Oryza sativa Japonica Group: one gene and its partner. Each later gene encodes a partner of the first gene's protein in a complex. Links are inferred from orthologs where the notes say so. Each region holds a gene or a part of one and is shown on either strand. Other genes may lie near its edges.

What was found. The genes of interacting proteins can lie anywhere in the genome.
Region 2: large ribosomal subunit protein bL21c (region 1) and large ribosomal subunit protein bL9c share a complex: the UniProt entries of both Arabidopsis thaliana proteins name them as parts of the 50S ribosomal subunit. The link is inferred for Oryza sativa Japonica Group from reciprocal best matches to the Arabidopsis thaliana genes RPL21C and RPL9.

Annotation. Positions count from the first base shown.
Region 1 is NC_089036.1:9,031,069-9,034,822, forward strand, and holds large ribosomal subunit protein bL21c, read right to left. Parts: upstream 2,447-3,754; 5' UTR 2,401-2,446; coding exon 2,098-2,400; intron 1,627-2,097; coding exon 1,546-1,626; intron 998-1,545; coding exon 896-997; intron 813-895; coding exon 738-812; intron 619-737; coding exon 535-618; 3' UTR 289-534; downstream 1-288. UniProt on the Arabidopsis thaliana protein: This protein binds to 23S ribosomal RNA in the presence of protein L20.
Region 2 is NC_089036.1:35,819,119-35,822,872, reverse strand, and holds large ribosomal subunit protein bL9c, read left to right. Parts: upstream 1-1,214; 5' UTR 1,215-1,233; coding exon 1,234-1,356; intron 1,357-2,023; coding exon 2,024-2,151; intron 2,152-2,501; coding exon 2,502-2,547; intron 2,548-2,816; coding exon 2,817-2,914; intron 2,915-2,998; coding exon 2,999-3,046; intron 3,047-3,148; coding exon 3,149-3,269; 3' UTR 3,270-3,335; intron 3,336-3,451; 3' UTR 3,452-3,689; downstream 3,690-3,754. UniProt on the Arabidopsis thaliana protein: Binds to the 23S rRNA.

The DNA of each region.
Region 1 (3,754 bases):
TGCTTATATGGCCTAAGTCCTAACCAGCTGCTTATGTGCCCTAAGCAGTACAAGGTTGCACACAAACACCTTATATATGGCCTTGCAGAACTTCTCTTAGAACACTCGAATAAATCATGACCAGAACTGCATTGAACATAGTACTGTAACTGATCCCAAAATATTAGGACATAGCCCGTTCAATAAACTAAGCACCATTGGTACAGATGCCAAAAACAGTGAAATTAGCATCAGTAGTCACAAAAACTGTATAAAGTTACACAAACCAAAGCTAAAACATCCGTATCGTGGTAAAATGCTCTCTCTTTTTTTAAGCACAGTGAAAATAATACAGTTGGCTAGGATACACAATATCAGAATGAACAAAACAGATGGTGGAATAAACAAAGGATGGAACAACTGGATGACTGGCAGCACTCGAACACATGAACAAAGCAAATTTTGTTCAAAAACTGTTCTTCCAGACAAGAAAAGGTAGCACTCGTATTCTAATGTACTACCAGTTGTTTGTAACTACAGAACTTACAATTGCTCTTAAGCTGGAACATACTCAAGTATCGGGTCAGCAGGGAAGTCCTCGTATCCACTTATGCCGGTAATTCTTAACCTTGTGTTTGGCTGCAAAACAACAGAGATTTTTAATCTAAAAGAACTCTAATTGCTTCGCTGTAAAAACTGAATCAGTATTTATCAATAAAATTCTACCTTTCTTGAAGAAGGTAATTGGAAAAACTTACCTGTCTGTGACCAAGTTTCCTCTGGTACTTCTTCTTCTTCTTATATTTGAAGACTATCACTTTATCATCCCGTCCCTGATATAAAAATATTGGGGAGACATCAGGGTCAAGTAATTTTGAATATCCATGATTAACCCGACAACATACAGAGGACATACCTGTTCCTCAACCACTGCATGAACAGCAGCATTGGTCACCACTGGCATGCCAATGTAAGCCTTGTCTCTAGTTGATACCAGTAATACCTTGTTTAATATTATCTGCACATCAGCATTATCCAGAAGTGAGAATTTCTGGGAAAACAATACTAAAAATGCCAGCAACATAAGCCAACGTATGGGTCCTATGGGATTGGAAGCTTTGCATCAGAGGAGTAATTTTAGTTAGAAAAGGAACGAAGCTAATATATGCAGGCTACACAAAACTTATCGAAAAGTTCTGAATAAGATATTTATGTGAAATCAGGAACTGGGATTGAAGTGTTATAATTACAGGGAAGTGACTCTTTTACTTCTAAAATGAAGTAGGTCACTACCACTTTCCATAATTTCAGAATGTACAACCTTCCTCGTTGTTTTGAAGTTTGTTATTGCATCTCATGGATGAAAAAGAATAATAACCAAATAACCAATACTATATATTTGCCTTTTCCTAATTTACAATCACCTTATCTAGAAGCCACCTCAGCATCATATACCTTTTAAATTTATGGATTAATACAAACCAACTAACTAGCAAAAATAGGCCAAATTTCTAGTTAGGGTGTAACAAGTATCCTCCTGCATCCTCTAAAGTGGAAGCACCAGACCTGATCATTGACATTGGCGCCTTTCAGCCTCTGCGTGTATATATACCTTCCAGGCATCACAATGTACTGTCTCGACCCAATCTGCGACAGAAGAAAAATAATCAAAATAGCTCCCTCGTTATTATTCACAGCGCTCATACAAAACAAAACACAGAGAAACCCTCCTCAGATGCACTCCTGCATATTTCAGAAATGCATCCGAACAATTCTCTGTAAGACTAGTATTGTATCATTCGAAAACACTGTAATTCTCTGCGCCGTTTTCTTAATGGTGTGTCCTGTACATACTAATAATCGGCGTGCGCGCATTCCTATTGGCGCGTGAATCCTAAGCTTCTTATGCAGCATAGAGTAAGCAACACAAGCCTGAAATCAAATGCTCACTTCACCGCAAGAAGCAACGCAACTAGCGCCAAATGCCTGTGTAATGATATTATTTAAAGAATTCGAGGTAATGTAGCATGAACAAATGTGATTCTTTTTTTGTTTGTTTGCAGTGAGCCGAGCAGGACTAAATCTGAAATATTGGCGGCAAGGGCAAGCTAGCCCCACCATGACAACGGCGAAGATGTCGGCGTCCTTCCCGGCGCCCGCGGCTGCGATCTGCGCCTCCACAGGCTCCGGCACCGCAGCCTCCTCTTCTTCAACCTCCTCCTCCTCTACCACCTCCGCCTCGGCCTCGGCCTCCACGGGTGCGGGCGCCGGCTCCTCGGCGGAAGCGAGGAGCCGCCAGCAGCGGCGGGGCGCGGACGCGGCGACGGGGAGGGAGCATCGCGAGGCCGGGAGGGACGGGGCGGAGGGGAAGGCTAGGGTTTTGGAGGCGAGGAGGCGGAGGGGCAGCGTCGCGGTGGCCATGGCCGGCGCGCGGGGGGGAAGAGCAGTGTGGATGAGAGTGTGGGCTATCGTATCGGAAAGAAAGAAGAGGGATAATATTGTGGATAGGGAGGTTACCCTGAGCCGTTCGATTGGAGATCAACGGCTCAGATTAGATACCCATGAAAAACATGAAACTATGCCCTACTAGTTTTTTAGCGATACTGCACGTACTCATTTTGTTTCTCCTTTCTAAAGTTTAGAATCGTTTGATTTAATCAGTTAAAGATTATAAAAGAGTTGGATCGAATGTGTTGATTAGACCATAAAGAATATGCGAATTAACACGAGTGATGAGAACTCTCGTGAACTCTCGGACGAAAGAGCCAAACTGAACTACTACGCCTCCTCGACCCCTCTTCCTCACAGGCTCGGGTGACCTTGCCGCCGGCGAGGTGAGGGAGAGAAGTCCGACAAACTCTCTCTTTGTAGGTCAATCAATTTAGTTGGGTTTTTCTTTTAGTTTGAGCGTGAAGGTCGGCGATGTTGGCCTTCTAGTCCTAGGTTTCATGGAGAAGGCAATCGAAGTTTCTTCTCTAGTGGTATCCCTCTAAAACACCGGGTAATTCTCTATCACCGTGAGTTAGGAGAAAGCTAGACCTAGTTAAGGGAAGTTAGGCAAGTTATCTTTCTTTTCTCCAGCAGGCTTTTCGCAAGGATGATAGTTTTCTTCCTCTTTATTGGTGGCAAACCTTCAAGAAGCAGTTGAGTTTTGTTTGCTATATGCTTGGATTCCTCAACCTTAGGCTATGGAGGCCCTAATAAGGTAAGCTTCTTGGTGCTTTTTTATGCAACTTGCCATGAAATCTTTGTCTCTATCACCAATATCAACGATTAGGTTGTCGACCTTGATGGTTCTGCTCCAAGAACAATCTCATTTAGCTCTGGATGTACTCATCTATGGTATTGATGAACCTTTTCATGAATTGTCATGGCCTTAACCTCTATTGTTGTGAAACCCTATTTGGGAATGCGTCAAGGCAACATCTTCTGTAGCTCGCCGTGTCCATGTAGCACCCACTGCCATCAAGTATGTCACCAGTCACCACCAATGTGGGCATAAGACAGAGGAGGACCTGATTGTTGTTTTTTTTTTCAAATCTTGTTGAGTCCTCCTTTGCTTATATTTTGACCTAGCCATCTTAAAGAGACTATCTTCCGTACTCCCAGTTCTATCAACAATGAACATTGACATGTTCAGTAGTCACATTTCTATGGCATTGCTTCGACTGTGTAGCCGTAGCCAATGCAAGGTATAGCGCACTATTGCTTGGCCTGTTGCTATATGCTGCAGCCCATGCAAGCGCATCAAAGGCTATCAAACAACATTGATAAA
Region 2 (3,754 bases), about 27 Mb from region 1:
GCTAGCTAGCTTAGCTAGCTTCGTGGAGTCCGCTTGTTTGGTTTCTCCGATGGCGGGAAGGACGAAGTCATGGACGGCTGCATGACATGACGACGACGATGACATATACTCGATTATATACCCCTCTTCTCTTCGGTTTTCTCATCTCGTTGAGCAGTAGACATACTAATTCAATAAGATATATAATCGCCATTCTTTTTAAGAACGATTTGCTAGGTTTTTTTTTAATTTTTGTTCCTTTCGAGAAACAGGTCACCAGCTGGAGATCTTTGTCAGAAAAAGTACAACAAGATGATACTGGAGTATGATATACGAGGATGATATTTTGATGATACTCGTTGATAATTAAACAATGATACTTGATTATACTCTTTGATATTATTCATGAAGATACGGAGTATTTGCTAATACTCGTTCTTGCACATTGATACTTGATGATACTCGTTGATATTTGCTTATACTATTAATACACGTTTATACGTAATGGTAGCTAGTGATGTATCGTTGAGTTTCAAGATAGCACCAAAATAGTGTTATAATAATATATTTCTCGATTTATGTTATAACATGAATATTAGTGAAGGACCTAATATCAAATAATTAGAAGGGGTGAGGTTACGAATCCAGGTCATTTAGGCTATCACCTTGTGGAGCTAGCCGGAAGACCCCTGAGTGTTTCTCTTAATGTATGTTATAACATCTTGGCATCACATGTACTATCTATCTATCTTAGTAATATCGTCGAGGTATCACGTACATATATATCTCCTACCTTTCTCTATACGTTGAGTGGAAGGGGGTTACAATTTGGTGGATTATTATTACGACTTGTTTGGTATGAAACCATGCCAAAATATTGGCAATGCCAAATCTTGAGTAAATTTTGGTATTACTAAATTTTTGTTATTGTCTATTTGGCTTCACCTTATTGATTTAGCAAAATTTGACTCTAATTCAAATAGTTACGTGTTAACTATTCAAAGTTACCAAATAATTTATTTTTGACCTTTAAGTTATCAAAGAATTAGTAAGGCAAGAAGGAGCGCCAAACCAAAATGACCCTTAATCTTCAAGCCCATGACAACCCCGAAGAAAACCTTTGATACTGGGCCGATTTGAAAGGCCCAAAGCAGCGCAAAGCCCAAGAGAGAGGGCACCAAATCCGTTGGGGAAGTGGATAAGAGAGCAGCAGCCGCAGTTCCTTCCCTTCCCCCGCAATCCATCCCCAACGCCATGGCCTCCACGCTCGCCTGGAGCTCCGCCGCCTCCTCCTCCGCCCCCTCCTCCCGCCTCCCGCCGCGCCGCTCCCCGTCGCTGGTCGTCGTCGCCCAGGGCAAGGTCAAGAAGTATCGCCAGGTTTGGCTTCCACTTGTATTTTCTCTCCACAGTTGCAGCATGTATGTATGTATGTATTTAATTGCGATTCGTTCGAGCTAAGCAGTACTAGTACTGACTGATTGAACAAGCTGTTGCTGGTGATGCTTTTGTTTTGCCTCTTTTAGAACTAGCCATACCCAATGTACTGTCTGTCACCACCCTGTCCACTAATCAGTACAGTAGATTACAAAGCGCATGCGACTGCATTCCATCGATCGAAAAATTCGAAATGCAGCAGCTGTAAGCTTAAGATTACTGTGTGCATTCACACATCTGAGTATAGGAAAAGATACATTGCCATGGACGCATGCTCTGATGCAGTACATGGAAATGGAAGAAACTATCGTCATGTTTTTAATTAGGTGCCTCTTAGCATTGCAACTCAGATGCAAAAGTCATCTCTAATATGATTCTGTATATGCCCCGGAACGCCGGAATTGTTGGTTTGGCCATGCTGTTTGTTTGTAGGGAAAGTTGCAACTAAAAGGCATCTAGATACACCCAGTTCAAAATTTGCACCTGTAAACTGTAAAATGTTCCAAGCCTATGTCATCATCTTCCTTGTCTATTATGCATTTCTATACTTTAGCATGTAATGCACGATTCCGTATTTGATTTACTTCACTTGAGTTTCTTTTTCTCCCAGGTCATACTGACAGATGACATAGCAGAGGTGGGGAAGAAAGGGGACACGCTTAAAGTGAGGGCCGGGTTCTACCGCAACTTCCTTCTGCCAAAGGGCAAGGCAACGCTGCTCACCCCAGAAGTACTCAAGTAATCTTCTGTCTTACAGTCATTTACCACATCTCACGAATTGTATAGGCTATGTTTCAACCAACAGATAGGTGCTCCTAGTAAATTAATTGACGTATGCTTATGTTTCATCGTAGTTGGTTTTCACAGTATGCTGCAGGTGTAAATTTGCAGCTATTTATTCTGTTGTGTTAGCCATTGTATCTCTTGCCTCCTTGTGGAGCCCAGGATTGACATATAAATCTGCAAACTTTTATAGATGCCTATTCTGCATTTCTAGTTCAGTTCTTCTGGGGTGTTCAACATGTTCAATTAGTTCTTGTAAAAGGATGGCTAGTAAGCTACTTAATTTCCTCTGCTGCTGTCTACAGGGAAATGCAAGTAGAACAGGAGAGGATAGATGCTGAAAAGAAGCGGGTAAGTAAACCTATTATTCTATTTGTGGACTCAGTAAGAATTGATATAGTTGAAACTTATTCCTATTTGTTCCTGTCTGTCTAAAAACTACTGTGGTAGTTATACCCTACTAATCCTTGTTCTCCAGGGTACGTAGTTGTGGTTTAGCTTATTTTGTAAAAAGTCTAAAGCATGATTTGTTCCTACCAATATCATTTTCCATAAGAGTATAAGAACTTTCATCCAGTGTTAGCATAATCTTACCCTGTTGAGCATTTGTGCTTGAGTAGGTAAAAGAAGAGGCACAGCAACTTGCCCGTGTTTTTGAAACTATTGGGGCATTCAAAGTGCCACGTAAAGGTGGGAAAGGAAAACAGATATTTGGGAGGCAAGTTTTTATCGAGTAGATAGTTCTTTATGTATCGTCTTATTTTACTTGCACTTAATAACAAGTTTTTCTTCTATTCTACAGCGTCACAGCACAAGATCTTGTTGACATCATAAAGTCACAACTTAATAGGTATGCCCTTCTAAGTGCACTGACAATCACTACCTTTTAAGGAAGGATTGCGATGCTCTATTTGCTGCTGTTGCTTTGCTTACCGGAAACTATTTCATGTAGGGATGTCGACAAGCGTCTCGTGACAGTGCCAGAAATTCGTGAAATTGGGGAATACATTGCAGAGATTAAGCTTCACCCTGAAGTCACAGCTCAAGTAAGGCTGACCGTATATGCGAAATAAGCCCTGAAGCTGCTTGATTGAATCTTTAGTGGATGGTGGGCTTTGGATGAATTCTGATTTCACCAGGTAAGCTCATCTGCAAGGCATTCCATTGTTCCTTACCTTTTGCTCCGTTCTTAAGCTGTCATATACATTTCGTCAATTGTGTTAGCAGCTGAATTCATGCAATGATTTACTTGCAGAGATTTTTGCTGAAACTCCAAGGTGCAGTGTCACATCACGGGGCTTGGTCTTTACACATTGCCACTGTCCATCCTACCTGTAAAGTCAGTTTCTTGCACCTTTTTTTTTTTGACAAATTTATTTGTGTTAATGTTATGGGGTTAAATGGGCATGATGTAAACAACAAAGGGTTCAGAGTCTAGAGCAACTGATACTTGTCTTGTAATCTTGTTTAAAGGTGCACGTTCTTTATAGTCATATAGTTTGATAGAGCTACTACAATATTTGGGTTGGGTGGGCCAAAATGGCACGTAGGCAGTCTG